Linked DNA regions of Anolis sagrei. The protein of the gene in region 2 purifies or fractionates together with the protein of the main gene of each other region. This does not show direct contact. Links are inferred from orthologs where the notes say so. Each region holds a gene or a part of one and is shown on either strand. Other genes may lie near its edges. The genes, in order: EPC2, RUVBL2, NOP58 and NOPCHAP1.

Region 1 (7,937 bases), on a different chromosome or scaffold from region 2:
TTGTTCTGTTTCATTTGAACATTTTCATCTAAAATAATACATTTCAGCTACCTTTTGCCCTGATTGGAGAGACACCTTGTAGGTAAGCACTATCATTGGCTACCTCCTACAATGCTTCAACAATCAATTTCTTCTCTTTAGCTATATCTTTCTAGTTTCTATCTAGCTTGTAAAATATGCCACCAAAACAACCTCCTAAGTCTTTCAGTTAATTGGCAATTCAGTTATCTTTCTGGCTGTTAACAATAGATTTGTAAGAACTCATTTACAGACAACTAGAGGCAATGAAGGTGTGACTAAGATTCATTGTAATGATAACTTAAGAAGTAATGTGTTGTCCAAGGCTTTCATGGCCAGAATCACTGGGTTGCTGTGAATTTTCCAGGCTGTATGGTTATGTTCCAGAAGCATTCTCTCCCGATGTTTCACCTGCATCTATGGCAGGCATCCTCAGAAGTTGTGAGGTCTGTTGGAAACGAGGTAATTAGGGTTTATATATTCAGGGTGAGAGAAAGAACTCATGTCTGTTTGAGGCAAGTGTTAATGTAACAATTGGACACCTTGATTAGCATTAAATCACCTTTCAGCTTCAAGGCTTGGTTGGTTGCTGCCCGAGGAAATCCTTTATTGAGAGGTGTTAGCTGGCCCTGACTGATTTGTGTCTGGAATTCCTATATTTTCTGAGTGTTGTTCTTTATTTACTGCGCTGATTTTGGAGGTTGTTTTTTTTTAAAAAAAATACTGGCAGCCAGATTTTGTTCATTTTCATGGTTGCCTCCTTTCTGTTGAAATTGTCCACATGCTTGTGGATTTCAATGGCTTCCCTGTGTTGTCTGACATGGTGGTTGTTCAAGTGGCCCAGTATTTCTGTGTTCTCAAATAATATGCTGTGTCCAGGTTGGTTCATCAAATGCTCTGCTACGGCTGATTTATCTGTTTGAGGTAGTCTACAGTGCCTTTCATGTTCCTTGATTCGTGTTTGGGCAATGCTGCAATGTTTGGGCAATGGTCCCTATGTAGACTTGTCCACAACTGCATGGTATATGGTAGACTTCTGCAGAAGTGAGAGGATCCCTCTTGTCCTTTGCTGAATGAAGCATCTGTTGGATTTTTCTTAATGAGTCTGTAGACCGTTTGTAGTTTGTGTTTCTTTATCAGCTCTCCTATGCAGTCAATTGTTCCCTTGTCTGGCAGTAAGCAGCCAGACTTTGAAGCTGAAAGGCTATTCAATGCTAATATAAGGTGGCCAACTGCAACATTCACACTTGTCTCAAGCAGACAAGAGTTCTTTCTCCCACCCTGGACATGCCACAGATATATAAATTCCTAGTTTCCAACAGACTTTTTTCGGGCTGTATGTCCATGTTGTAGTAGCATTCTTTGGCAGGCATCCTCAGAGGTTTCTTCTTGCACTACTTTGTGTGTCTTTCTGTCCAGTGGCCACTATAGAATGAATGCAGTTTGCCACCATCATTTTTAGCTGCCAAGACCCATTGTTCCGGAATCCTGGGAGTTGTAGTTTTACGAGCTCTCTAGCCTTCTCTGCCCGAGAGCGGCAGTGCTTCACCAAACTTCAATTCCCAGGATTCGATAGCATTGAGAGATGGACATTAAAGTGGTATCAAACTGCATTTATTCTACAATGTATATGCACCCTAACTTTTCAGCAAAACACACATTTGCTATCTCTATCTATTTATCTATCTATGTGGATTTAATGTCCATAATAATTGCATGATTTTTAAAAGCTTCTATCTATTATGTGCATTTATTTTTAAATCTGCCTTGGGCTATTTATGTGCACTTTGTCCCAAAGGACATCAGCTTGTAGCATCCAGATGCTTAAAGTAACTGATAATATTTACTTGTTAGAGAGTATTTAAGTGTTGAGAGACATTGCTAGGAGCAAGGGTTTTGGTATTGGAAAAGTGCTTTGGAAAATAATGAAAACCTTCCTATTAATGTGCAGCAAATCTCAGCCTCGGAGGAAGATGGCAAATCTCCATCCAATGAATTTTGTCAAGAAAATCCTGGTAGTTCCTATCAAATATTTCAAGACATAATTTGTGGGAATTTAAGGTGTAGTTAAAATAAAACTACACCTTAAAAGTCTATTAGCAGCTTAGCGGGTTAAACCGCTAAGCTGCAGAACTTGCCGACCGGAAGGTTGGCGTTTGAATCCGCAAGATGGGGTGAGCTCTCATTGCTAGCCCCAGCTTCTGCCAACCTAGCAGTTCAAAAACATGCAAATGTGAGCATAATAAATAGATAGGAAAGTAATGGTGCTTCATGCACTCATGACCTAGGAGGTGTCTATGGACAACGCCGGCTCTTTGGCTTAGAAATGGAGATGAGCACTACCCTCCAGAGTTGGACTCAATTAGACTTAATATTAAGGAGAAACCTTTACCTTTACATAAACTAAAAAAAAGTTTGATTGAAAATGTTTTTTCAATCAAAAGGAGTTACTTATAAATTTTAAAAAAGCTATGACAACTAAATTTGATATTTGAATCAGAAGCATAGCTATTTATTTTGAGAGTAGTTTTCTGAGCTGTCACTAGAGCACATACCACAATACCCACACTTTGCTTTCCCCCCGCATTGTTCTGCATCTCACCCATTTAGTGTCCTCGGTTATCATTCTGATGTTGTCTCCCTTCTTTTTTGTCAAGCAACCTTCATGCAACCTTCATGAAGCTAAACAGACCATACTGTTCGGCTTGGCTGAAAATAGTGCTCCAGCAACCCACGTTTGTCGAGGTTCTCTGTCCATATCAATCCTCAACCCCCATGTCTATTTTCCTTTGATGGCAATGACTGTGGCCAATGGCTTGTTTTAAGATCTATTCACTGTGTATCACGCAATATTACAAAACTGAGATAAAATGTGAAATTTTATCTCACTCTTCCACTTTAAGAAATATCAGAGATAGATAAGTCCTTTCTTAAAATGCTAGGCTCGTGTGCAGATGGCAAATAATTCAACACTTGTTTCAGTATAATTTTATGAGAATAAATGAAAGAGTGTATCTACACTGTAGAATGAATGCAGTTCGGCACCACTTTAATTGCCATGGCTCAATCTATATATATATTAGTCTGAGAGTGTCTCTCATATATATATGTGTGTGTGTGTGTGTGTGTGTGTGTATACATTTACTTTTTTAGTCTCTCTGAGTATCTCTCAATTATGTGTGTGTTTATATATATACTGTATATGTGTGTGTGTTTATATATATACACATATATGACAGTCTAAAAAAGTAATTATATATATATATATATATATATATAATTACTTTTTTAGACTGTCTGTCATATATGTGTGTGTGTATACACTTTTAGCCTCTGAGTGACTCGCAGTTGTGTGTGTGTGTGTATATATATATATAATTTACTTTTTTAGACTGTCTCTCATATGTGTGTGTGTATTTGCTCTTTTAGTCTAAGAGTGTCTCTCAATTATGTGTGTGTATATATATTACTTTTTTAGACTGAGTGTCTCTCATATATGTGTGTGTGTATTTACTCTTTTAGACTCTCAGAGATTGTCTCTTAATTACGTGAGTGTGTATATTTACTTTTTTAGACTGAGTGTCTCATGTATATATATGTATGTGTGTGTGTATTTACATTTTAGTCTGAGAGTGACTCTCATTTATATGTGTGTATATATATATGTATATAAAATTTACTTTTTAGAGTGCCTCATATGTGTGTGTGTATTTACTTTTTAGTCTGACAGTGTCTTTCAATTATGTGTGTGTATATATATATATATTAATTACTTTTTAAGTCTGAGTCTCTCATATATGTGTGTGTGTGTTTATTCTTTTAGTCTGAAAGTGTATCTCATGAGTGTATGTGTGTGTGTGTGTGTGTATATATATATATATATATATATATATATATATATATATACTTTTTAGAGTCTCTCTCATATATATATGTGTGTGTGTGTTTATTTACATACTGGCCATCCCCTGCCACACGTTGCTGTTGCCCAGTCTGTGTATGTGTTTTGTCTGTGTATTTGTGTATATATGTGGTTTTGTGCATGCATTGTATGTTTTTTTTAAGTCTCTTCTGCTGTGTTTTTCAGTGTTTTTATGAGTGGTGGTCACTCATTGGCCTGATAGGTGCCTTGTGTCCAGATTTGTGCCCCCACATTACTACCCATTGCACACACCATATCTATATATGTCTATTTATTTGTGTGTGTGTGTGTGTAGGAGAGACAATTTCAGACTAAAAAAAAGTAAATGTTAATTTGTCTATATAAATAAAAATGTAATGTTCATTTGTGGGATTAACATAACTCAAAAACACATATAGAGCTAAATTAACATTTACTTTTTGAGTCTGAAAGTGTCTTTGGTAAACACACACACACAAATATATATAGATATACAGTGTGCAATGGTTATTAATGGCTTTTCCCTGGGAGCATCCCAGTGTGGTCCATTCCCCTTAATTCCTCCAGCCTCTCTCTCTCTCATTCGCCCAGCCTTCCCTTTCTCTCTCCCCTTCGCGAGGCAAGGCTGCGCGCGCACCCTCCCCCCCCTCCTCCTCCTCTAGTCCCCCCTCCCTCTCTCCTTCTCTTTCTCTTTTTTTTCTTTCCTCCTCCTCCTCCTCCTCCTCCTCGGAGAGCGCCCCCTCCCCTCCCCTCCGCCCGCGCGCGCTCTCTCTCCCTCTCCTTCTCGTTCTGTGTGTGTGTCTCGCGCTCTCGCTCTCGCGTTGGCTGCCGGGATCGCTGGCCGCTTTGGTTAATGTCCGCCATGTTTGCCATGGCGCAGGGAGCGGGTCGAGCGCGGAGCTAGGGCTGCGGGCGGCTCTGGGCGGCGGGGCTCTCCATGGTGTGTCGGGCCGGGTCCGGGAGCGGCTGGGAGGCGGCGGAGGAGGCCGAGGAGGCGGCGGAGGAGGCGGGCGCGGCGCCGCCGTCGTCGTAGCGCAGCCCCCCTCCCTTCCGCGCCCCCCCCTCCCTGCCTGCCTCCGGGTGCTGGTTGTGAGGGAGCGACACCATGAGCAAACTCTCCTTCCGCGCCCGGGCGCTAGACGCCGCCAAACCGCTGCCCATCTACCGCGGCAAGGACATGCCCGACCTCAACGACTGCGTCTCCATCAACCGCGCCGTGCCGCAGATGCCCACCGGCATGGAGAAGGAGGAGGAATCGGTGAGCCAGGGCTGAGGGCCAGGGGCTGGGGTTGGGGCTGGGGGGGGGGGGCTGGAGTGCGCCGCCGCCGCCATTGTTTATCAGGCCTTTCCCCCTCCCTCCCCTCGCGGGGGAAGGAGGCCATTGGCATTCACCAAGCGCCGCTACGCACGCTCCCCGCCGCTGCGGCGCGCGCTCCCTATGGGGTCCTACGCCAGCGGCGCAGCGTAAGCCCCGCTCCGGCACCGTAAGCCGGGCCTGCCTCCGCCATCTTCTTGGCGGAGTGTTTTGATGAGCGGAGGTGGGGAGGGGGGGCCCTCGCGCTACTGCCGTAAGAGGAGAGCAGCGCAGGCAGAGGCCCTGAATAGCAAAGAGAGCGCGCCGGGCGCTGCTGGCGGAGAGCGCGAGGCCTCCAGCCCCGGCTCCTCGCCGAATCTTGATGCAGAAGGCCCTGCCTGCTTCCTTGCTTGCTTGTTGTGTCCATGCTGACGCCGGCTTGTGAAAGTTTAAAAGTAGCCAGGCCTTAGGGAAGTGAGGTGGTTTTTTACGTCCTGTTTCCACAGGATCGGAATGCAACCTCGTTGTATCTATGAGGCAGTGGATGTGTTTGTATACAAATGCACACACACACACACTGGGGCTTTGATGCGTTTCTGTATGATCGTTGAGTCTATTAGGCAGGGAATGTGTTTGTATACAAATGCACACATACACTAGTGCCCCCGTGAATTTGTGGATACTTTTAATGCAACAACGTTGTGTTTACTAGGCGGTGAATATGTTTGTATACACTCACTGGGGCTTTGATGCATTTTATGATTTTCATGCAACATTGTTGTGTCTATTAGGCATTGGATTTGTTTGTATACAAATGCACACACACTGGAGCTTTGATTCATTTATATATGATTTTCATGCAACATTGTTGTGTCTATTAGGCATTGGATATGTTTGTATACACATGCACACACACACTGGAGCTTTGATGCATTTCTGTGTGATCGTTGAGTCTATTAGGCAGGGAATGTGTTTGTATACAAATGCTGGATAGTTTTAATGCAACAACGTTGTGTGTTTACTAGGCGGTAAATATGTTTGTATACACTCACTGGGGCTTTGATGCCTTTTATGATTTTCATGCAACATTGTTGTGTTTACTAGTCAGTGAATGTGCTGTATACAAATGTGCACATACACTGGTGCCCTGGTATATTTGTGTATACTTTTAATGCAACAACATTCTGTTTACTAGGTAGTGAATATATTTATATACAAATGCAGACATGCACTGGTGCTTTGAAGTATTATTTATAATTTTAATGCAGTGTTGTTCTGTCTATTAGGCAGTGGATGTGTTTGTATACAAATTTACACATACTGGTGCCCAGGTGTATTTGTGTATACTTTTAATGCACCAATGTTGTGTTAACTAGGCAGTGGATGTGATTGTATACACATGCACACACACACTGGGGTTTTCATGCATTTCTATGTGATTTTAATGAAATGCCGTTGTGTTTACTAGTCAGTGAATGTGTTTGTTTACAAATGCACACATATACAGGTGCTTTGAAGTGTTTTGTTCTAAGAGTGGTTCTCAACCTGTGGGTCCCCAGGTGTTTTGGCCTACAACTCCCAGAAATCCCAGACAGTTTACCACTGTTGGGATTTCTGGGAGTTGAAGGCCAAAACATCTGGGGACTCACAGGTTGAGAACCACTGTGTTATAATTTTAATGCAACATTGTTGTGTCTATTAGGCAGTAAATATGTTTTTATGCAAATGCACACATATACTGGTGCCCCAATGTATTTGTGTATACCTTTAATGCAACAATGTGTTATTAGGCAGTTGATGTGTTTGTATGCAAATACAGATACTCATTGGTGCTTTGATGTATTTCTGTATAATTTTATGCAACATTGTTGTGTCTGTTAGGCAGTGAATGTGTGTGTATACAAATGTGCCCATACACTGGTGCCCTGGTATATTTGTGTATACTTTTAATGCAACATTGTTGTGTTTACTAGGTAGTGGATATTTTTGTATACAGTTACACACATATACTGGTGCTTTGATGTATTTCTGTATGGGTTTAAAGAAGCAATGTTGCAGCTACTAGGCAGTGAATATGTGTGTATGTATACAAATACATGTACTGTTTCGCTGATGTATTTCTATATGATTTTAATGAAACAACCTGTCTAATAGGCAGTAAATGTATTTGTATACAAATACACATATGTATTGGCACACTGATGGAGTACCTTTCCATTCTCAGGTTATAGGGAACAGGGAGTTTAAACTGTCAGTAGTTTTGCTTGTTTGTGTAAAACACAAATAAAAATGTCCTGTCTCTGTGATTTGTGCTTATACATGTTAGTAAACAATCTTTGCTTATATTGTTTCTTTCTGTAACTGAAACAAAATTGTTTGCACAATCCTGTACATGTGTCTTGCAGATCATTATTTTTACCAGACTTAATCCCAAACATATATGTGTAAGATCAGCAGGATTGTCGAAGTGGAATCAAAAACAGATCTTTGAGTTAGTGTACACTGATAGGTAGGAGGAAGAATTAGGTTTGTATTGTTCTTATTGTTTTTATCGATTTTATCGATTTTATTGGGATAATGGCTTGAATTGTGGGAACTTTGAATTGTTGTACTTTTGTGATGATTGTTGTGTGGCAGGCATCTAAGTGTGCCTTGCTGTTGTAAGCTGCCCTGGGTCCCCTTCGGGGTGAGAAGGGCGGGGTACAAGAACCCCAAATAAATAAA
Region 2 (8,281 bases):
TAAGGCGAACTAACACACTGAGGTCCTTCTTCCACAGAGATCTCTTACAGACCGAGGGCTACTAAGCTACAGGGACACCTGCTTATATTGAACTGCAGCTTTTGCTGAGTTATTGCACCCATTTAACCCTTTCAGTGCTTGACTCACATTTTTTGTAATTAAAAATACCTGGCTAATTTTTAATATTTTGGACAGTCTTGTCAAGAGAACCCCATGCTAGATTTGCCCAGAGTAGAGTTTCTTTCCCCTTTTCTGTATTATGAAAACTTTAAAGAGTTAGCCTAGATTCTAGAATTCAGTGTCTTCCCATTTGATTCTGCCCTTGTGTCATGCCATTTGTAAAGGACGCTAATTCCTCAGGGCAGGTTGCATCCCGAGGTCCCAATTTCAGGATTTCCTTTTACATTGAAGGGGCTGTTGCCTGACTGAAGAATGTTTCAAAGACTGCACAGAATATGTTATATTGAGATGCTGTGGAAGTGACTGGCAATTATAATATGTATTTCTTTCCCTTTAGGAGAAAATTGTAAACCAAGAAGAAATATTTGACCTGCAGCTCGACTAGTTCTCAATCAGTGCCAAAGATGGGAGACAGAAGAGCCTTTGGGAGTTTTGTTTTTAAAAAATGACTGCTGGTGGAACTATTAGCTTTTTTTATTAAAAAAATCCTCAAGAAAGATTCCACTTCCTCCTCTTCCAAAGTGAAAGCCAATCAAGGAAAGAAGTTGTCTTATGAACACTAGGTAGAGTTTGGCTTTTACTGTACTTCTGGGATCAAGAAATCGGCATTGATCCGTTGTGAATGACATCAACAATTGCACTACTTGACGAACTGTGTATATAAGACAAGACAGTTCTTGTAAAATTTGGGTTTTTATTTTTGATGATGACACTTTAAATGAAGGAGAAAGGAAGAGTCAGACAAATTGCATGAAATTTTACTTTGCTAATGTAAAAAAAAAAGGACTTGTTAGATGTGCTGGTTTATTCTCTGCGACAGATTCCCCCAACCTGGTGCCCTTTAGATATCTGAATTACAGTCGCCCTACACGTTTGTGGATCCGACATTTGCGGATTTGATTAAAATGTTCTAGGATTCTCTCCATCCTCCAGTATAACTCTGTGATTAACTTTGTTGGATGTTGACTGTAGAGTCATGTTGGGAGGACGTAGAACAGGCATATGCAAACTTTGGCCCTCTAGATGTAGGGGGAAAAGGAAGGGGCCTGAGACTGTTAGGAATGATGGGAATTGAAGTCCAATACACCTGGAGGACCAAAGTTTGCATATGCCTGACATAGAACAAGGGTGTCAAACTCGAGGGCCACATCAGCCTTGAGGTTCATCGAGGGCCACATCAGCCTTGTGGTTGCCTTCAAAGGGCTGTTGAATCCATGGGTGTTGAATTCATTCATATATAGTGTCAACACTATCTATCTATCTATCTATCTATCTATCTATATACAAACACACACACACACACACACATATTGGTTAGTGCTCTTTAGTTTTTACCCAGTCTGGGTTGTCAGATGTTATTGAACAACTATAATCACTTTTGATTATCTGCTATACAGACTGTGGATAATGGAGATTGCAACCCAACAGCACTTGTCACCCTGAGGTTGGAAAGGTTAAAGGGCATTATATCCACAGGCCTTGTATCTAAAACTCCACTCTCCTGACTCAACAGGACAAACTGCAGCCTTTCAGATGCTGCTGTATCCCAACTCCCATCAACTCTAGACATGATGTCTCATGGTACGGAATACAGGAGTTGTAGTCCACCTTCTGGAGGGCCACATAAAAGGACATGGTGGGCCAGATTCAGCCCGCAAGCCTTGTGTTTGAAATGTGACCTCAGAGAGTCATACAGAGAACACCTCTCTAAAAACAAACTGTAGGTCTTCCATGCGATTCTATGGTCAATTTCACATAGTGAAAGTTCACATAGTGTCATGCTGGAGGATATCGAAATTCCTAGAGAGGTATTATCTGAAGTTTTAAAAAAGCCATTTATTTTTATTTTTCACTTTTGCCTAACCCCAGCAAATGTGAAAGGATGACTGTACAGCTCCCACCCTCCTTGACCATAGGCCAAGTTTTCCATGCTAATGCAAGTTGCATTTCAGATGATCTAGTGGACAAAAGATTAGGGAAAGCTGTACTTAAAAAAAAAGGAAATGAAACATTGAGATTTCTAGGATTAAAAGGAAGGACATAGTCCTCTCCTCACCCATGAAAATGTCATTGCTTTTTGGGACAGTGCAATATGTTGCTGTGTAACTAATTTCCAAATGCTACCTTATTCTCAAGGAAATATGCAAAGGGTTGTAATGTAAGAGGACCTTAAATTACAACCTTGTTCTGTGATAAATATCTCTGGAAATTGAGGCTTTCCTTAGAAGCTGTTTTATGGCAGTAGGATAAGCAGTAGCTCAAAGTAAGGCTTTTGTGCTCACTTTATTTTACATGTGCCAACTGTTGCTTTCCCAAGTTTTTTTTTATAAGAGTTAGTTCTGGTTTCTATGTGTGACTTTTCTTTGTTTTGCTGTTTTTAAATATATATATATTTATTGTGTTGTTTTATTGCTTGTTAATTTTCTTGATTTTATGGGAGCTTTTGAAAAGTGGAATCAATACTGTAAGATCCCTATAAACATGGAACTTATATCCATGGCTTCACTTATCCACAGCAGAGGAATAATGGTCTCTCTCTGGGAATTTGCTAGGTTTTCCAGGTGATTCTATAGTATGCTTTCCCTGGAAGTTACCATAGGGTTGCATTGGAGGACCTAGTGAATTCCTAGAGATTATATTTCTATAGCAGTAGTTCCCAACCTGTGGCTTGCCAGGTGTTTTGGCCTACAACTCCCAGAAATCCCAGCCAGTTTAGCAGATGTTAAGATGTCTGCGAGTTGAAGGCCAAAACATCTGGGGACCCACAGATTGAGAACTACTCTTCTATAGGAATCTCTAGATCCTCTAGTGTAGTGGTTCTCAACCTGTAAGTCCCCAGATGTTTTGGCCTTCAACTTACAGAAATGCTAGCAGCTGGTAAACTGGCTGGGATTTCTGAGAGTTGTAGGCCAAAACACCTGGGGACCTACAGGTTGAGAACCACTGCTCTAGTGCATCGCTTTGATATGGAAGTCATGTGATTTAATGGCATTCGGTTATATCCCAGTGGATATGGGGGTCCTACTATACATGGAAAATGTATCCTGTTCAAAATGTACTTGCAAGCTACAAACAATGTGAAAACACAGTGTGAAAATGTACAGAATTTTACTGCAAATCTCTTAATTTATCCCACAAACTCAGGGATTTGGGTGTGTTTCTGTGAAATGCCGAAAGCTTCTCTGAAGCACTGTTTATTTTAAAATAAAATATTTTAATCTGAAAAAAATCCTCAAAACTTTTATTGGTAGATGTTGCTTCATTCTTGATAATTTCCCCTTTTGTCACATCAGTTTTCCTTTTGCTTTGTGCATGCTTTCATATAAAATTTATCGTATGGCTAACTATATTTAAACAGGACTTTTTTTGAAGTGGTTTTCAACTGAAATGAAGGCAGAAAGAACCCTAAAGTATGGTGTCATAAAATAGCAATGTTCACTATAAATTTCCCAGTAAAGCAAAGAGTTAGAAGTAGATAACTAGAAATATACCGCCATAGAAACAGTTAGAACATGTGTTTGCGTTTGAACATGAGTCTCCTTGTAGAGAAAAAGTGGGGTAGCAGAAAAAGAAGGGAAAGGAAGGAAAGAAAGGGTGAAAGAAAAAGGAGGGAAGGAAGTGAAAGGAAAGAGAAAGGATGAGAAGAAAGAATCATAGAATCAAAGAGTTGGAAGAGACCTCATGGGCCATCCAGTCCAACCCCCTGCCAAGAAGCAGGAATATTGCATTCAAATCACCCCTGACAGATGGCCATCCAGTCTCTATTTAAAAGCTTCCAAAGAAGGAGCCTCCACCACACTCCGGGGCAGAGAGTTCCACTGCTGAACGGCTCTCACAGTCAGGAATTCTTCCTCATGTTCAGATGGACATGTAGTTTGAAGCCATTGTTTCACGTCCTAGTCTCCAAGGAAGCAGAAAACAAGCTTGCTCCCTCATCCCTGTGGCTTCCTCTCATATTTATACATGGCTATCATATCTCCTCTCAGCCTTCTCTTCTTCAGGCTAAACATGCCCAGCTCCTTAAGCCGCTCCTCATAGGGCTTGTTCTCCAGACCCTTGATCATTTTAGTCGCCCTCCTCTGGACACATTCCAGCTTGTCAATATCTCCCTTAAACTGTGGTGCCCAGAATTGGACACAAGAAGGGATAAAGGAAGGAAGAGAGGAAAGAATGAAGAGGTGAGAAGCTGTATGAGGTAGATGGAGGAAGGAGGGAAGCTGCAAATAGAGTATGTCTACTGTTGCCATGGAAAAATTGTGAGATGGGCCTTCTCAGAGCTGGAGAAGGGAGAAAGCAGGCCTGGGCAACAATGTGGATGTCAAATCCCAGCAGTCTAGCACATGCATGGGCAAACTTGGGCCTTCCTCCAGGTGTTTTGGACTGCAACTCCCACAATTCCTAACAGCCGGTAGGCTGTTAGGAATTGTGGGAGTTGCAGTCCAAAACACCTGGAGGAAGGCCCAAGTTTGCCCATGCTTGCTCTAACATAATTAGACAGGTTGCATTATGTCTAGCTTCTTAGATATTTAACTCATTAATTAATTATCAGGGTAAATAAACATAACAACATTTAAAGCCTCTTTTAATAAACTGGTAAAGAGACTTCACAGACACCTTGTACACAGCTGAGCTGGAATGACTATTACTACAGCAAGGACTACTGGAGGACTGAGGGAGCATAGACGTTGCCTCGGACAGAGCGCCCTGAAAGCTGAGGCCGCTTCCTGTTTCCGGTGCTGAGGAGGCAGGGCCGGCTGCCGCTTAGAGACGGCGCGAGAGACGGCGGGAGCAGCAGCATGGCAACGGTGTCGGTGAGCGACAGCCTTGTTTCCCTCCTTTGAAAATACCCGGATCATCCTTCTTTTATACGAGTTTAGCATCTGATTACTTTCTTTTTCTTCTAACTTGTGAGAGGAATGCCAGAGCAAGCATTCCCCGGTTTTGTTGGGAGTGTAACTCCCATCATCACCTCTTATCTTTGGCTATGTAGTTTATCAGAGGCCTGCAGTGTTGTAGGTGTATTACTATACTTTAGAATAGGCTTGGGCAAACTTGGGCCTTCCTCCAGGTGTTTTGGACTCCAACTCCCACCATTCCTAACAGCCTCAGGCCCCTTCCTTTCCCCCCTCAGCCGCTTAAGCGGCTGAGGGGGGAAAGGAAAGGGCCTGAGGCTGTTAGGAATGGTGGGAGTTGGAGTTCAAAACACCTGGAGGAAGGCCCAAGTTTGCCCATGCCTGCTGTAGAATGAATGCAGTTTGACACCACTTTATCAACCACAGCCCACTGCTGTTGAATCCTCGTCGTTGTCATTTTAGAAGTCCTTTAGACTTCTCTGCTTCAACAAACTACAACTCCCAGTATTGCCATGGCAGTTTAAGTGCTGTCAAACAGCATTAATTCTACTGTGTAGATTGCCTGCTGCTTGTGGCCACTTATTTCTGTGTACGAACCCACATGATCTCTTCGATCATCTGGAGAGGCCCTACTCGCGCTCCCACCTGCATCGCAAGCGCAATTGGTGAGGACAAGAGAGAGGGCCTTCTTGGTGGTGGCCCCTCGACTCTGGAACTCACTCCCTAAGGACATCAAGTATGCCCCAACTCTGGCAGTCTTTAGGAGAAGCTTGAAGACGTGGTTGTTCCAGTGTGCTTTCACAGAATAATGAACCATTAGCACACGGGTCCTTAAACTAAGGCCCGAGGGCCGAATATGGCCCCCCAAGGTCATTTACCCAGCCCTCACTCAGGGTCAACCTAAGTCTGAAATTAGGTTCTTGTGGGTTTTTTCGGGCTATATGGCCATGTTCTAGAGGCATTTCTCCTGACGTTTCACCTGCATCTATGGCAAGCATCCTCAGAGGTGAGGGTCACCTCTGAGGATGCTTGCCATAGATGCAGGCGAAACGTCAGGAGAAATGCCTCTAGAACATGGCCATATAGCCCGAAAAAACCCACAAGAACCTAGTGATTCCAGCCATGAAAGCCTTCGACAATACATTAAGTCTGAAATTACTTGAAAGCACACAACAACAACAACAACAACAACCCGCCAAAACAACAATCTCATCAGCCAAAAGCAAGCCCACACATACCACTGGAATACTAATAAGTTTATACTTGTTAAAATGGTTCTTCATTTTAATTATTGTAATGCTTTAAAGTGGGTTTTTTGCACTACAAATAAGATGTGTGCATAGGAATTCATTCATTTTTTTCCCCAAATTATAATCCAGCCCTCCAACAGTTTGAGGGACTGTGACCTGGCCCTCTGCTTAAAAAGTTTGAAGACCCCTGCCTTAGCATTATGTCCTCCAAAGCACTTTATACTGATTTAGGACTGCTTGTACGTTTCCCCAACGCCCCACCTCCTCTACCTTGTTCATGCCCAGCATTATTTTTAACTTAATTACATTTGGCCCAGCCATAGTTTTTAAATGTGTTTTGTGCCACTGTTCAATGTTTATGCTGTTTTGTGTATGAGATTTATTTTAATTGCTTTGTATTAGTATTTGTATTTTGTTTTGTTTTGTAATTGCTATTGCTTGTATTGATGTATTGTGGTCTCGGCCTCATGTAAGCCGCACCGAGTCCCTTGGCAGATGGTAGAGGGGTATAAATAAAGTATTATTATTATTATTATTATTATTATTATTATTCCATCAGCCCACTTTGGTTGGGATTAAATGTTTACTTTTAAGATGTTTTATTGTATTTTGATAGAATTGTTTAATTGATATGTCATCAGCCCACTTTGGTTGGGATTGAATGTTTGCTTTGAAGCTTCTTATTGTATTTATATTTGAATTGTTTAATTGGTATGTCACGTTTAGTACCGTATGTTTTAATTGATAATTGATATGCTAATTGTTTAAATTGATATATTTTATATGTGTAATGCGGCATTGTATGCCATGGTCTGAAAGCAGCCCTGAGTCCCCCAATTGGGGAGAGAAGGGTGGGGTATAAATGTAGTTTTATAATAATAATAATAATAATAATAATAATAATAATAATCAGAACCAATGCAATTAAGGCCTGGATTGAAAAATCAGCTGATGGTCCAAAAAGTAGACTGTGCAAGGAAGCTGATGAAACCATAGATCATATCCTCAGTTGTTGCAAGAAAATCGCACAGATGGAGTACAAACAAAGACACAACTCTGTGGCCCAAATGATTCACTGGAACTTATGTCACAAGTACCACCTGCCAGCAGTAAAGAATTGGTGGGACCATAAACCCGCAAAGGTTGTGGAAAATGAACATGCAAAAATACTGTTGGACTTTCGAATCCAGACTGACAAAGTGTTGGAACACAATACACCTGACATCACGATTGTGGAAAAGAAAAAAGTTTGAATTATTGATGTCGCCATACCAGGTGACAGTTACACTGAGGAAAAACAGCAGGAAAAACTCTGCCACTCTCAGGACCTCAAAATTGAACTGCAAAGGCTCTGGCATAAACCAGTACAGGTGGTCCCAGTGGTCATTGGCGTACTGGGTGCCGTGCCAAAAGATCCCAGCCGGCATTTGGAAACAATAAACATCAACAAAATCACGATCTATCAACTACAAAAGGCCACCTTACTTGGATCTGTGTGCATCATTCGAAAATACATCACACAGTCCTAGACACTTGGGAAGTGTTCGATTTGTGATTTTTGATACGAAATCCAGCATGTAGATCTCGTTTGCTGTGACATACTGTGCTTTTGTGTCAGAATAATAATAATAGATTCTTCCAAAGAGGAAGATATTATAGCGTAAGTGGTTCGTATACTTGTCTAGTCCTCCCAGGCCTCTTCCAGACAGCTGTGTGAAATCCACATTGAGCTGGATTACATGGCAGTGTGGATTCAGATAATCAGTGGGTTCATTTCTTTTGGGAAAAAAAATCAAGTTTCTGGATTCAGAATTCATTCATCCAAAAATATATCTTTTGCACTTGACTCTCAGCAGCAGTGTTGCAGATGCTACTAACATTTAAAGTAGACCCACAAGTGTAAAGCCTGCTGTCCGGTTTTAAACCATCTAAGGGCCCTTCCACACAGCCATATAACCCAGAATATCAAGGAAGATAATTCACAATATCTGCTTTGAG
Region 3 (7,747 bases), on a different chromosome or scaffold from region 2:
GCTGAAAGGAAGTCTAGGGGCCGACGGTGCTGGAGGTGAACAACAAATCCGATGTTCTACAGATCAGCACACTCTAGGAATCTGGAATGTAAGATCTATGAGCCATGGCAAACTGGATATTGTTATTGGTGAGATGTCAAGACTAAAGATAGACATTCTGGGGGTCAGTGAACTGAAATGGATTGAAATAGGCCACTCCATAACAGATGACCACCAGATTTACTACGATGGACATGAGGAACACTGAAGAAATGGAGTAACCCTCATAATAATAATTTATCTATATATAAATGCTCTGTGCATAATGAGTACCTTAAAAACAAAAGAACCAATGAACAAAATCACACCAAATTTGGCAACAAAACGTCTCACTACACAAGGAGTGACCATCACACTCAAAAAATTATGATTTTGTCATTTGGGAGTTGTAGTTGCTGGGATTTATAGTTCACCTACAACCAAAGAGCATTCTGAATTCCACCAATGATGGAATTGAGCCAAACTCGGGACACAGAACTCCCATGACCAACAGAAAATATTGAAAGGGTTTGTTGGGCATTGACCTTGAGTTTGTGTTGCAATCCAGAGCAGGGAACGAGGCCCTAAGATTACTATCCACCACACTTGGCTGTGAAAAACAATCCTTTTTTATTGAAGAAAAATGGTTACAAAATAAAGGAAAAATGCAAGTCAAAAGCCACAGCAAAATCAGCAAACATTAATTTAAATGGACAAAGCAAAACCAAAAGCCTCACTGGGATATACTGGAACCTGTTAGCAATCCACTAACCGTACTTGATATCCTAGAATCTTCCCAAACTATGGCCAGGGAACCGGGAGAACTGCCAAGGTCTTAATCAATTCTGAAACGAAGCCTGAACTGAGACAATCAGCCCGGCGTGCAATTAAAACTCAAGAATTCGTTCCGTGAACCGCCCTTCTTTTTTGAAGCCAATGTTTTTAATTCTTGAATTAGGGAGGATCGACGCAAACTGAGTGATTTACTTCTGTCTTCCCAAATTTGGCCCCTTCTGTTGTCATTACAGTTAGCAGGTGAAGAAGGGAGGGAAATTTCAAGGTCTCCCTCTGAAACGTTCTCATGAACACTGGTACTTTCATTTTCCAAATCTACAGAAGTTCCTTCCTCACTAATTTCAGGAACATTGGCATTTTCCAAACCTACAGCAGTTTCTTCCTCACTAATTTCAGGAGCATTGGCATCAAAAGGTACATTTCCACTAGCATCAGTAAATATACTTTCATTAGCATCAGGAGGAACAAACAGAGAATCAGGTTCAAGTTCAAACTCAGGCTGAACCCCAACAGTTTGGGAGTTGTAGTTCACCTACATCCAGACAGCACTGTGGACTCAAACAATGATGGATCTGGACCAAACTTGGCACAAGCACTCAGTACGCCCAAATATGAACACAGATGGAGTTTGGGGAAAATAGACCTTGACATTTGGGAGTTGTAGTCACTGGGATTCACAGTTCACCTACAATCAAAGAGCATTCTGAACCCCACGAGCAACTGAATCGGGGCAAACTTCTCACACAAAACCCTCATGACCAACGGAAAATACTTAAGACCATCCAATCCAACTCCCTTCATCAGGGCAAGAAAACTTAATCAAAGTCCTCCTGACAAAGAGCCATCCAGCCATAGACAATTCCAGAGGTTATCCAGAAGAGATAAGGAACTATTTTGAAACAAGCAATGCATGGAAGTGGAAGAAGACAATAGAGTAGGACGTCCAAGAAACCTCTTCCAGAAAATTAGAAACATCGGAGGTAAATTTCAGGTAAAAATGGGCATGATCAAAAACAAAGATGGCAAGGATTTAACAGAAGCTGAAGAGATCAAGAGAAGGTGGCGAGACTATACAGAACATCTGTACAGGAAGGATAATAATATCGATGACAGCTTTGATGGTGTGGTGAGTGAATTAGAACCAGATATCCTGAGGAGTGAGGTTGAATGGGCCTTAAGAAGCATTGCTAATAACAAGGCAGCAGGAGACAACAGGGATTCACAGTTCACCTACAATCAAAGAGAATTCTGAACATCACGAATGACAGAATCAGGGCAAACTTCCCACACGGAACCAATAGAAAATGGCCAATAGAAAATACTTAAGGCTATCCAGTCCAACTCCCTTCACCAGGGCAAGAAAACGTAATAAAATACTGTTTACCCACAAGCAGAAAGAAATGACATATATTAGAAACCAACACTTTCTCATTACTTTATTTATATACTTTATATACTTTATAATCATTACTCATTATACAGGGTTAGTCAAAATGAATAGGCCAATAAGAAAATTAATTGTAGCCGAATGTATGTTTACTGTAACCAAACCACAGCTACGTAGCGACAGATAAACTATCAAAGTTTTTTTGAGCAACACACATGTACGTTAATGCCGCTAGGCGTCGCTAGGAGTCGCTGTTTTCAAAATGGCGGAATCAGGCAAAGAGAAGGCGTTTTGTGTGATGACATTTGCTAAAACAATGTCAGTAATTACGGTCCAGCGAGAATTTCGAGCCAAGTATGGCAAGGAACCACCTCATCGACATTCCATTGCGAGGTGGGTAAAGCAATTTGAGGAGACGGGCTGCTTATGCAAGGGTAAAACCACAGGACGACCGCGTGTCTCCGAAGACACAGTGGAATCCATTCGTGCATCCTTTCAACGAAGTCCCCAGAAGTCGACAAATCGTGTTGCCATGGAATTGAACGTTCCGCAAAAAACTGTGTGGCGCGTGTTACGCAAACGTTTGCAGTTCAAGCCGTATAAATTGCAAATGGTGCAGGCTTTGAAAAAAGGTGACTATTCGAAACGACACGATTTTTGCGAATCAATGCAGCGAAGACTAGAGGAGGAAGGCTTTGCCAACAGACTGGTCTTCAGTGACGAGGCAACGTTTCACCTGTGCGGGAAGGTCAATAGGCATAATCTCCGCTTTTGGGGATCTGAAAATCCTCATGCCGTATTGGAACATGTAAGGGATTCGCCGAAGGTAAACGTTTTCTGTGCAATAACCAACCGTCACGTGTTTGGCCCATTCTTTTTCGCGGAGAAAACCGTAACAGGCATAGTGTACGCTGACATGTTGTCTGAATGGTTGATGCCACAGTTAGAAGAGAAAGTGCCCGATTTCGTATTCCAACAGGACGGTGCCCCTCCGCATTGGCACAACAGTGTATGCGAGTACCTCAACGAACACCTTCCCAGACGTTGGATTGGCCGTGCTGGAGTGACTGATCTTCCATTCCTCCTGTGGCCCCCCAGGTCCCCCGACCTCACACCATGCGACTTTTCTTTCTGGGGGTATGTGAAAGACACTGTGTTCCGACCTCCATTACCGCTGACCTTGGACGACTTAAAACAGCGCATATGTGCTGCATTCGATGCCATTACGTCAGATGTGCTGCAACGGATGTGGAATGAACTGGACTATCGCTTGGACGTCTGCCGTGTCACACGGGGCGCCCATATCGAACATCTCTGAAGGTGAGACAAAACTTTGATAATTTATCTGTCGATACGTAGCTGTAGTTTGGTTACAATAAACATACATTCGTCTAAAATTAATTTTCTTATTGGCCTATTCATTTTGACTAACCCTGTATTGTCGAAGGCTTTCGCGGCCGGAATCACTGGGTTGTTGTAGGTTTTTTCGGGCTATATGGCCATGGTCTAGAGGCATTCTCTCCTGACGTTTTGCCTGCATCTATGGCGTCCTCAGAGGTAGTGAGAAAGTAACTTTCTTATTACTTTATTTTCCAGATCACCAGACTGGGCCACAGCTACGCATGGCAGGGGACGGCTAGTGTGCAATATTCCAGGATCTGATCCCAGATTATCTGTTTATCCCAGATTTTCTGGCGGTGTAGACTCACTTAATCCAATTCAAAGCAGATATTCTGGGATCAGGTCGTGGGATCTCAATTTTGGAATAATCCCACTCTCTTCATCTCTATTCTCAAAAGCGCCCTTCGCCAAAGCGTGGCTGCAATTTCGCTAAATTTGTATTTATTTGCTTTTTTCCCCTCACAAGATCATGTCTTTCTTTAAATAAATACACAAAAAAAGTCCTGTTAGTAGTTTGTATTGAATCTCGACTCGAGAACCCGACGTCAAGGTCGGACACTATGAAGATGTAACCCTTAGGGTTTTTTTTTTTATGTCCCCGCCCACTTCCACCCTCAGCAGCTTTCCCAGAAGGCCCCGCGAGAAGCATTTCCGGCGAGGCGCCATTTCCGCTCTCGTGCGCCTGTTTCTTTGCGCGCGTGCTTCGTACCTGGCAGTCGGGGGCTCGCGCGCCCGGCTCTCTCTTGGTTGTTCCTGGGGAGCTCCGTCTTCGGGCCGGCGCCGCCATGCTGGTTCTCTTCGAGACGGCGGCCGGGTACGCCATTTTCAAGGTGAGCGCCGCGCTTCCTCCGCCATGTGCTCCCTCGGCCGGGTAGAATTGGCTGGGCAATCCAGCTTTAGAGGCGTCTGAGGGGAGGGAAGGCCTTTACATCCGGGAAGGGCTTTCCCTTCCCGCCTCAGTACTAATTTGAAATAACTTCAGCTTTCCTTGGGAGTAGTATTGTTGTATAATATGTCCAGAGTCAGTACAGTTGGTCCTCCATATTCACGGATTCAACCTTTTGAAAACATTCCCAAATCAAACCTGGAGGTTTGCCCTTTAATCTCAGGGACACACCATTTTGCGACCCCATTGTATGTAATGGGGCCTGAGCATCCACGGATTTTGGTGTCCAAAGGGAGTAATAGAGTTGGCCTTCTAGTTCAACCCCCTTCTGCCATGCAGGAAAAGCACAATCAAACTACCCCGACAGATGGCCATCCAATCTTTCACCACATTCCGAGGCAGAGAGTTCCACTGCTCTTACAGGCCTCCTTCCACACAGCTGTATAAAATCCACATTGAGCTGGGGTATATGGCAGTACGGACTCAGATAATATGGTTTGCTTTAAACTGGATTGTGGATTATCTGCCTTTATATTCTGGGGCTCCTTCCACACAGCTGTACAAAATCCACATTGAGTTGGAGTATATGGCAGTATGGACTCAGATAATACACAAACGCAGCGCCCAAACACGAATCAAGGAACATGAAAGGCACTGCAGACTGCTTCAACCAGAGAAGTCAGCCTGAGCAGAGCACCTGATGAACCAACCTGGACACAGCATATTATTTGAGAACACAGAAATGCTGGACTACTCTCACAACCACCATGTCAGACTACACAGAGAAGCCATTGAAATACACAAGCATGTGGACAATTTCAACAGAAAGGAGGAAACCATGAAAATGAACAAAATCTGACTACCAGTATTAAAAAACTCTAAAATTACAACAGCAAAACAACAGAGAGGAAACAAACAAGGACATCTAATCACCCCTCAACAAAAGTTTGCTCCAGGCACAGTCAGCCCATTGTATGGTAATCAAGGTGCTCAGTTGAAACATTCACACCTAGCTCCAGCAGTCAAGAGTCCTTTGTCTCACCCTGGTTATTCCACAGATATATAAACCCTTTTTCCTAGTTCCAACAGAACTCACTACCTCTGAGGATGCTTGCCATAGATGCAGGTGAAACGTCAAGAGAGAATGCCTCTAGACTATCGCCATACAGCCCGAAAAAACCTACAACAACTCAGATAATACGGTTTGCTTTAAACTGGATTGTGGATTATCTGCTTTGCTGTTCCAGGGCTCCTTCCACACAGCTGTATAAAATCCACATTGAACTGGGTTATACGGCAGTGTTAAGTCAGATAACCCCAGTTCAAAGCAGATACTGTAGATTATCAACCATGATATTCCGGGTTATATGGCTGTGTGGAAGGACCCACAGACAGAATGTTCTGGAACCAAAGACCCAACACATACTAAGGGCACACTGTACAGCAGGCCTCCTCAAATATCAGCCCTCCACCCCTCAGAAGTCCTATCCAGCTTGTTCAGTGGTGAGGGATTCTGGAAGTTGGTGGCCCAAATGGGTGGAGGGCTACCATTTGAGGAAGTCTGCAGTACATTATACTGTCTTAATTCAAGCTAGCAGTCTCCTCAGGCAAGTACATGTATCTTCTCTATTGTAAGACAGAAACTGAAACAAACTAACTTTATATAAATTCATTAAATTTAAATCTCAGGACTTCATTGCATTGAGCCATGGCAGTTAAAGTGGGGTCAAGTTACATTAATTCTGCAGTGTAGATTCACCCTGTGAAACCCATGGTTCAAATTTCTACTCTGCCCTGAATTCTACAGCTCATTTTAGAGAACCATATATATATGGTTCAAATGGTACCCATGGTTCAAATTTCTACTCTGCCCTGAATTCTACAGCTCATTTTAGAGAACCATATATATATGGTTCAAATGGTACCCATGGTTCAAATTTCTACTCTGCCCTGAATTCTACAGCTCATTTTAGAGAACCATATATATATGGTTCTCTAAAATGAGCTGTAGAATTCAGGGCAGAGTAGAAATTTGAACCATGGGTTTCACAGGGTGAATCTACACTGCAGAATTAATGTAACTTGACCCCACTTTAACTGCCATGGCTCAATGCAATGAAGTCCTGAGATTTTAAGTTTAATGAATGCCTAACACTCCTTGGCAGAGGAGGCTTGCTAAACTACAACTCCCAGGATTCCGCCAAGGCTGTTTAACTGGGGTGAAACTTTATTATATCCTCCATCTTAATCACTAGGGCTCCTTCCACACTGCCCTATATCCCAGGATCTGGTCCCAGATTATTTGCTTGTCCCAAATTATCTGGCAGTGGAGACTCATGCAGTAATCCAGATTAAATTGGGTGATCTGGAATCAGGACCTTGAATATAGGGCAATATAGAAGGAGCCATTCAGATAAGGGATTATATGGCAGTGAAGATGGGGCCTCATGGTTTGTATCATCACTAGCCTCTTCTACATTGCCATATAGTCCAGAATATCAGAGCAGATACTCCACATTACCTGCTTTGAACTGGATTATATGAGTATACTGCCATATAATCCAATTCAAAGCCAATAACCTGGATTTTATGTGACAGTGTAGAAGGTTGCATCAATTTCTGCCACCATACCTAGTTTTAGTTTTTCTTTGTGCTCGGAATGCTGTTTTGTATACAGTAGCTAGGTAAACAAAAATACAGATTTTGTGTATGGCAACCTACTTGATTGGGATTTTGCTAGTGATCCAACTGTGATGTAATGAGATTACTGCAAGATCGTCTGAAAAATAATGCTGGAAGTGGAGGAAAAAGTGAGTCTGGGAATTATGCCTACTGAACACATAGAGGTGAATAACATATGGTGCTTAGAACAGAATTGATTTTGCACTTGATACAGATATCTCAAAAAGGCATTTTCAGGTTGCATTATTCACTAGGTAGGGATGCTCTGTGGACAGTTTTCTTGTAATTTTGAAGTTGATGTTTGAGAGATACGCAGGAGTGGTCTGTTCAGTTAAGTAACAGGCCCTGATCTCCTCTCAGTTCTAAAGTTTCATGCAGGTTGTGTTTTGCCCCGAGTTTCCCTGGAAAATTCTATAGAGAACAGAAAGTCAAGTGTTGTACTGGTTTTGAGGGGTAGGGGGAGAGCATGGAACCTGACAGATAGGAGAATGAGAACAAAGCTCCCAAGAAGTAGATATCAGGATATAAAGGAGTTCAGAATATTTTCATTGTTTAAAAATTGGGTGTAAATTTACTGT
Region 4 (7,829 bases), on a different chromosome or scaffold from region 2:
CTTTACTGCTTTTTAATTATCTTCAATAAATTGATTGTATTTCTACTCAACTGTGTGGTGTTTAAAGTCAGAGGGCTTTTCCTGGTCTGGAGTGCAACAATTTTATAATAAACTAACAAGGTTTAGATTTGAGGTAGCTATAAGGCAAGCAGTCATTCGTTAGATAGCATACACTAAAGAATTTGAGATGCAAGGCGAATTATTTTTCAACATTGTAAAAAAAGTGAAGCATTCAAAGACAAAGATTTGGGTTACAAAAATAAAAAAAACTAATACACTCACCATTTCAATTACATTTTCAGTAGAAGGATCTAGGTGTTCAATATCAAACTCTTCAATGGATGTGCTGTCCATTTGTTTCCTTAGCTTGTCATTTGCACTGGCCATCTGTGGTAGAAAGGTCTGGACTCTATCCAAAACTAAAATATGAAAAAGTGTTTGTAGAAATATTAATGTACTTCTGTGTAGGAAAAGTGGGCAGAGAATTTACTCTATTTGTATCCTGCCTTTCTCTACCCCGAAGGGGACTCAAGGCGGCTTTACATATGGCAACTATTCAATGGCTTTGAATAGTTAAAATAAATTTAAGTTAAAAATTAAAATTAAATGCACATTAAAACATATAAAACATTGCATTCACTATTAAAATCACCCCATCCCCAAATCATAATCCGGGGCCGTTCCAAAGATCCACTGCACATATTTTGAGTATTGTAAAGTCCATAATCTATTGGAAATTCCAGTGCACCATAACCTCATTGCAAAGGTAGATATGATGTTACCTCTGTTTGGCAAAATCTCCCTGAACATAGAGATCATCTAAAAACCACAAGTCAAGTATGGTGGGCCTTGTTAGAAGTCAACCCTTAAGACAATTCATATTCATAAAGTATTAATGTAATAGCACATACAAGTTGCTCAGCTGTTAAACTGAGATCCACGTCTTTAAACGACCAAGAATAAAGACAGGCCACTACAAAAATGTATCTGGTTAGCAGAGGATGGTTGTTTGAAGTAGAATTTGCAATTGTAATTGCGGTTGCCTAAAAGATATACACGCCCTTAAAACATGTACTCAAGAGACAAAACAGTCTTATTTGAAAAATAACATATCTTGTTTACTAAGAAACTTGTATATATTCAGTATACAAAAACATAGTCTTTTAAGTGTCTTTAAGTATATCTGTACTTACTCAAATCCATGAGCACACACATCCACCTCCAATGAGGTCTGAAACCAAACTTATCGCATTGAAGTCCATAAGCATACATCTACCTCCAAAAGAAAACATTCACCTTCAATGTTCAAAAGCATACTAAACACAAAATTGAGTCCTGAGTTTGCACATGCTCAGTATAACCACATGTATAACTCCTCCCATATCAAAGAGGTCAGCCAAACTGGAAAATCAACATACACATAGAATACAGGTTAACAATTGTATACATTAACAAACAGTTAGTGGAGGCTTGGAAGGTTGCTATTTCCAACATTGAGGCTATTATTGCACTACAGATGAAACATCCTTAATGATGTTCAGTACTTACTATTGCTCCTTGGCAGTCTGGCTGTCTGTAAGCTTGTGGCTTTCTTTTTAGCATGATTTGAATTGAGCAGCAGTCTCTTATGAATACCTGTAATCCAGAAACTTCACATCAGTTGAGTAGGCACACACTGACTGTACTATTTGTACGTGTGTGTGTGTGTATGGGGGGGGGGGGGGGACTTTACCATATTGCAGATAAGCTAGTACACTAAATGTATTTGTCACATAGCCCCCATCTATATAGACCATTTAATGCAGTTTCAAACAAGTTTTTGAAGGAAGTGCTTTGGCTGTGCACACGAACTCCCTCCCCAGTGAGATCAGATCAGCCTCCTCCCTCCTGGTATTTAGGAAAAAAGTTAAAACTTGGTTGTGTAAGCAAGCAGGCATTCGCTGAGTGACAGAATTGCAGTATAACATTTAATCATGATACAGATATAAATGAAACAGCCAAATGACGACTATAGGATTGGTGTAATGTTCAATATATTTTATGATGTTTTAATATCTTTAATATGTTTTAATATGTTTTAATGGTTTTAATTTGTATTTATATGTCTATTGATTATGTTATGTACTGCTTCCCCCCCCCCCCCCTTATGTATTATGTGGCATTGAATTTTACCAAACTGTAAGCCGCTCTGAGTCCTCTTCAGGGTGAGATGGTGTGGGACAGAAATATAGTAACTAAATAGTAAACAATACATATGAAATTCTGGAATCAGTTTGAGGTCTAGATGGCGATTATGCAAACTGATGTCCATTAAGGGCTTTCTTTTACATGCTTTCATGGGTGTTTCTTGCTTGGCTGTTGCAGTTTGATGCTAGCTTCCGAATGAATTAAATTGTCAGTGTAGATGGAGCTATACTCCATGCAGCACTATTTCGTGATATTTGAATACTACAGGTAATAGTAGTGCAGCACTGAAGGTACAATTCATTTTCATGTATCTGAAATATTACTAAACAGTACACTCTCTAATATAAGTAATATCCATATTTTATTATTTTATTCATTTATATCTCTTTGCCCCTCTAGGGCTCAAGATGCCTTATGAAAGTGTTAATAGAAATAGTTAAAAGTGCACATAACAGAAAAGTTTAACAGCAACAAATATAGACAATACAGCACATTATTCAAGGCCATGAGGAATATGTGTATTACAATATGAAAAGACATGTACAACTTCCCAGTGGCGCAATGGGTTAAACCTTTGCACAGGTTTAAATCTGGGGAGAGCGTGAGTGAGCTCCCTCTGTCAGCTCCAGCTCTCCATGCTCCCACAAGGAAATACAACATCAAAACATCCAGGCGTCCCCTGGGCAATGTCCTTGCAGACAGCCAATTCTCTCACATGAGAAGTGACTTGTAGTTTCTCAAGTAGCTCCTGACACAAACAAAAATTAAATGTATAAGACTTCAGTTGCCCTCTACACCAGGCATGGGCAAACTTGGGCCCTCCAGGTGTTTTGGACTTCAACTCCCACAATTCCTAAGAGCCGGTAGGCTGTTAGGAATTGTGGGAGTTGAAGTCCAAAACACCTGGAGGGCCCAAGTTTGCCCACGCCTGCTCTACACTGTAGAATTAATGCAGTTCGATATAATTTCAACTGGCTCAATGCTATGGGATAATGAGAGTTGTACTTTGGTAAGGCACCAGGCAGAGAAGGCTAAAGGTTTGCCAGAGAAGGCTAAAGATCTCGTAAAACTACAACATCTCCTGATTCCATAGTATTGAGCCATGGTAGTTAAAATGGGATCAAACTGCATTAAATTCTACAGTGTAGAGAGGGCACCAATAGCTGTAAAAGCAGGATACTGAGTAATGAAGCCAAAGGAATGGAAAAGGGTGAGAGCCAATATGCAGGATGCTTTCTCCCTCCACCTCAGCTACCTCCTCGGCTCCCCACAGAAAGGAGGTCTTGGGACACCTTCAGTGGCACGCTGCCTTCTTTGCACGCCATTCGCCTCCTCCTCTTCCAAATGAAACCGGAACAAGAGAGAGGAAAGCAGAAGGGAGCAGCACAAAGCAATCTGGAGGCTTCTGTGGTAGCGCCACCTACAGGACAACGAGGTTATTGGATGGCTACGAGTCTAATCTATCTATCTATCTATCTATCTATCTATCTATCTATCTATCTATCTATCTATCTATCTATCTATCTATCTATCTATCTATCTATCTATCTATCTATCTATCTATCTATCTATCTATCTATAAATGCTCTGTGTATAATGAGTACCTTAAAAACAAAAGAACCAAATTTGGCAACAAAATGTCTCACTACACAAGGAGTGACCATCACTCAAAAAATTATGATTTTGTCATTTGGGAGTTGCAGTTGCTGGGATTTATAGTTCACCTATAATCGGAGAGCATTCTGAACTCCATCAGCGATGGAATTGAACCAAACTTGGCACACAGGACTCCCCTGACCAACAGAAAACACTAGAAGGGTTTGGTGGGCATTGACCTTGGGTTTTGGAGTTGTAGTTCACCTACATCTAGAGAGCACTGTGGACTCAAACAATGATGGATCTGGACCAAACTTGGCACGAATACTCAATATGCCCAAATATAAACACAGATGGAGTTTGGGAGAAACAGACCTTGACATTTGGGAGTTGTAGTTACTGGGATTTCTAGTTCACCTAGAATCAAAGAATATGCTGAACCCCACCAACAACAGAATTGGGGCAAACATCCCACACAGAACCCCCATGACCAACAGAAAATGTAGCCAGGGGGAGGGGGGGCTTGAAGGGCTTCAGCCCCCCCCCCCCCCGAAATTCTCATGGTGGTTCGCGAAAAGGCCTTACTGGTGCATTATTTAAACTGTTATGTTTATTCATATCATGATCTGATCGCCATACTCAATATATCCCATATGTATGGGGGTATTGGGGTAATGATACAAAAGGTTTGCTAGGCTAGACCCTCTTTCACTCAGACTCAGCCCCCCCCCCAAACTCAGCCCCCCCGAACCCCCCCTGAAAAAAAATTACCCCCCCCCCCCGAAACGAAATCCTGGCTACGGGCCTGCTTGTATCCCACCCTTCTCACCCCGAAGGGGACTCAGAGCGACCTTACAAAGGCAATGATTCAATGCTACACACACATATATATTGATAAATACATATATATATATATATATTGATAAATAAACTATTCATTAAAATAAAAAACAATTAAAAACATCAACATTAAAACATCAATTAAAATCACACAAGCCAAGTCATACTCTAGGGCTATTCTATTCGTCATTGTGTTATTTTGTAATCTCTTATCGCACTGCTCAAATTTACTGACCAAAGGTTTGGTCCCAAAGCCATGGTTTTCGTTTTTTCCTGAAGGTCAAGAGGGAGGGGCGGATCTAATCTATCTGGGGAGAGAGTTCGATGAACGAGAGGCCACCACTAAGAAGGCCCTGTCTCTTGTCCCCACCAACCTAATCTGGGAAGGAGGTAGAAGATAAAATGTGACTGTTTCTTAGTTGTGCATATTCTATTGAACATATGCATTTCATTTTCATCTGATTACACTAATTTGTTCTCTTTTGGCCAGCAAGCTCAGATCTTACTAAAATATTACGGGTGGGGTGAGGAGGTTTGAATCCAAAAGGAACATTAAAGTGCAGAGAAGACAAGATTGTTCTTTGCACAGATTTTTATACTATCATAGGATAATAGATTCAGAAGAGATTGCAAGGGCCATCCAATCCAATCTGCTGCCATGCAGGAAAAACACAATCAAAGCACTATATTCATGGTCCAATCCTATGCTTTTCTACTCCAAAGTCTCATTGTTTAATTAAATTTTCATAAGTATTATTATTCAAAATAAAATAAATGAAAATTAAATTTATTTTGAGACTGAAGTGTAAATCAGATATAAGTATGCATGGGTACTCATTGTAGGAAAGGTCTCATATGAAAATGTGTGCTGGTACGGCTGTACCAGGAGCTCCAACTTTATTTCTTTCTCTTAAAGTTTGCAGTTATAGGGCAGGCATCCTGTCCATCTTAATTAAGCTTTGGTTCCGCCCCTTGTTCAGGCTTCTGGGAGGGAAAGGAGCCATTTTGGGCAGTCTCACACAAGGTAGCTAAGCTATAGGACGTAGACCAGCTCGTCCCATAGAAAAGCTTCCTTTCTTAAGAGCATCCAGGGAAAAGGAACATTCAGGGATACAGAAACAGAAATTCCAGGGGAAAGGTCCCAAAGGCTCTGGCTGAGCGCTCACAGCCTCTCAGCCCCACAGCATCAGAGGGAAACAGCCCTGAAGTTCTCAAAGAATTCTCGGAGGGAGGATAACATTACAGATCCACTGAACTCCAGCTGAAATATCTTCAAGCTTTGGCTGGTAGGTCTACTTGATACCCAGACGCACTTGTATTTGGTAGTAGCACCCACACCAATGAGGCATAGATAGAAAGCAGCCTGTGAGAGGTTAAAAGGGGTTTTTCCTACAGAGAAGGTTCAGTTGATCAAAGTCAGGTACCAGTCCAGACCAGACTGGACTAAGAAAGCCTTGAAGTGTTATTTGAACCTTTGAAGATTTGTTGTTTGTTCCATAATAAAGACTTTGTTGTATCATTAAAGACTCTAAAGACCATCACTTCAGAAAAATCCCTGAGAACTTCTCTTTGAGGCCCCCTGGCTTCCCGCTGGGCTTAAAGTATATGTCCTATAGAAAAGTACAGCTGTTACAGGCCCAGCGCACAACAGAACAAAATGTCTGAAAGGTATTAAAAGATATTAAAAAGATCTGATTTAGCAGATAATTGTTGTGCCACTACTACTACTATTATTATTGTTCTTGTTGTTTGCTTAGCTTTATCCCACCTTCTCTTGATATAGAGACCCAAGGGGCTATTATATTTAAAAAAATTATATACATGTGCTGAAGTACTGTTTAAAAAAGCATTTTCTTCCAGTGGTCATCAAAGCTGTTTATGATTCAAATCCATTGCTGATAAGGTTTTTTATCATGTCAATGCTTTTACTATAGTTTCTTCATCTCGTTCCATCATTTTAATTATTTTTAATTTTATTGCAATTCATATTTATGTTTAGATATGAGCTTTATTTTAGCACAGAAAAATTGAATTAAGGGTGGAAGAGGTAGATTCATGATGTCACGGTCCTATCAGCTTGTATTACAGGTGTATTTTCTGTAAACGCACAGAACCGGTATTTCTTGTGTTTGACTGCAGAGATAAAAGTATTTACATTCAGTCTAACAAAGTGATAGCATATGTTCTGTAGCAAGAGTGGAAAGGGGAAATGGCTCTTTTAGTGGTTGTATAGAAGAGGAAAGTCCAGCAGATGTTACTTGATACGCAACCAGATTACAAGCAGTTCCCTATTGACATTCCCTATTCTATACAACCTTTGAAAGAGAAGAGACTATTGCTAGTGTTCACTCTGGCAGTCTTATCCCACAAAATAAACCTCATTTACTTCGATAGGACTTATTCTCTGGCCAGTTGGGAGTAAAAGCCATTAACTTTGATGGGATTAATTTATCATTAGACATGCACAGAATTATATTACAAGAGTTCCTTTGTAGCTGAAAGACTTTTATCAGTCAAGATACTCATAAAGTTCCTTTTCCAAAAATGAAACTGTAAGAGAGATAACTTAAATACAATAAAGTGCAGAGTAACCAGAAAACTTCAAGCTATTTTGAAGCTCTGTTCATAGAAAAGAAAACCCCTGCTTGACTCAAAACTCAGGCAGGTAAGTAAATCATATTAGTGAAAGATATGAAAATTTGGAAGTGATAACATTTCTTGTGTTGCAGCAAAAATACAACGAAGAGGCTCAGGCTAACTGGAAAGCGTTTAAGTTTATTTTTTTAAATTGAGTAATTTGGAGTCAGAGGAGGTAAAGACAATTCCCAAATTACACTGACTCCTCGATTATCAAACAAGATAGACTCTTATAGTCTTTTGCCAAGCGTGGTACAGAAGCAAAAAAAAAAAAAAAACCCAAAAAAAACGCAACCTCAAAATTAACATATCTGGGGCCCCTTCCACACAGCTGAATAAAATCTCGCATTATCTGCTTTGAACTGGACTATATGGCAGTATGGACTCAAATATCCCAGTTCAAAGCAGATATTGTGAGATTTTCTACCTTGATATCCTGGGTTATATGGGTGTGTGGAAGGGGCCTGGCCTTTGAGTGGTGGCCTCCTCTCTGCTATTACCCTTCGTAATTCTAAAATTAGCTAAAACCACAAATGTTCAGTCTACAAAAATAGGATATATGCCAAACC

Evidence for each region.
Region 1: the proteins of RUVBL2 (region 2) and EPC2 purify together in Homo sapiens (co-immunoprecipitation; 4 studies listed by BioGRID and IntAct, counting the BioPlex papers as one, with this or other methods). This does not show direct contact. The link is inferred for Anolis sagrei from reciprocal best matches to the Homo sapiens genes RUVBL2 and EPC2.
Region 3: the proteins of RUVBL2 (region 2) and NOP58 purify together in Homo sapiens (affinity purification with mass spectrometry; 5 studies listed by BioGRID and IntAct, with this or other methods). This does not show direct contact. The link is inferred for Anolis sagrei from reciprocal best matches to the Homo sapiens genes RUVBL2 and NOP58.
Region 4: the proteins of RUVBL2 (region 2) and NOPCHAP1 purify together in Homo sapiens (affinity purification with mass spectrometry; 4 studies listed by BioGRID and IntAct, with this or other methods). This does not show direct contact. The link is inferred for Anolis sagrei from reciprocal best matches to the Homo sapiens genes RUVBL2 and NOPCHAP1.

Annotation. Positions count from the first base shown.
Region 1 is NC_090021.1:206,272,056-206,279,992, reverse strand, and holds the start of EPC2 (enhancer of polycomb homolog 2), read left to right. Parts: upstream 1-4,716; 5' UTR 4,717-5,024; coding exon 5,025-5,177; intron 5,178-7,937. UniProt on the Homo sapiens protein: May play a role in transcription or DNA repair.
Region 2 is NC_090026.1:28,230,455-28,238,735, forward strand, and holds the start of RUVBL2 (ruvB-like 2), read left to right. Parts: upstream 1-4,910; 5' UTR 4,911-4,976; coding exon 4,977-4,991; intron 4,992-8,281. Other genes in the region: BCL2L12 (bcl-2-like protein 12), read left to right, coding at 518-565. UniProt on the Homo sapiens protein: Possesses single-stranded DNA-stimulated ATPase and ATP-dependent DNA helicase (5' to 3') activity; hexamerization is thought to be critical for ATP hydrolysis and adjacent subunits in the ring-like structure contribute to the ATPase activity.
Region 3 is NC_090021.1:165,264,758-165,272,504, forward strand, and holds the start of NOP58 (nucleolar protein 58), read left to right. Parts: upstream 1-4,239; 5' UTR 4,240-4,386; coding exon 4,387-4,431; intron 4,432-7,747. UniProt on the Homo sapiens protein: Required for the biogenesis of box C/D snoRNAs such as U3, U8 and U14 snoRNAs. Part of the small subunit (SSU) processome, first precursor of the small eukaryotic ribosomal subunit.
Region 4 is NC_090025.1:170,238,904-170,246,732, forward strand, and holds the start of NOPCHAP1 (NOP protein chaperone 1), read right to left. Parts: upstream 3,533-7,829; 5' UTR 3,513-3,532; coding exon 3,443-3,512; intron 1,636-3,442; coding exon 1,549-1,635; intron 420-1,548; coding exon 283-419; intron 1-282. UniProt on the Homo sapiens protein: Client-loading PAQosome/R2TP complex cofactor that selects NOP58 to promote box C/D small nucleolar ribonucleoprotein (snoRNP) assembly. Acts as a bridge between NOP58 and the R2TP complex via RUVBL1:RUVBL2.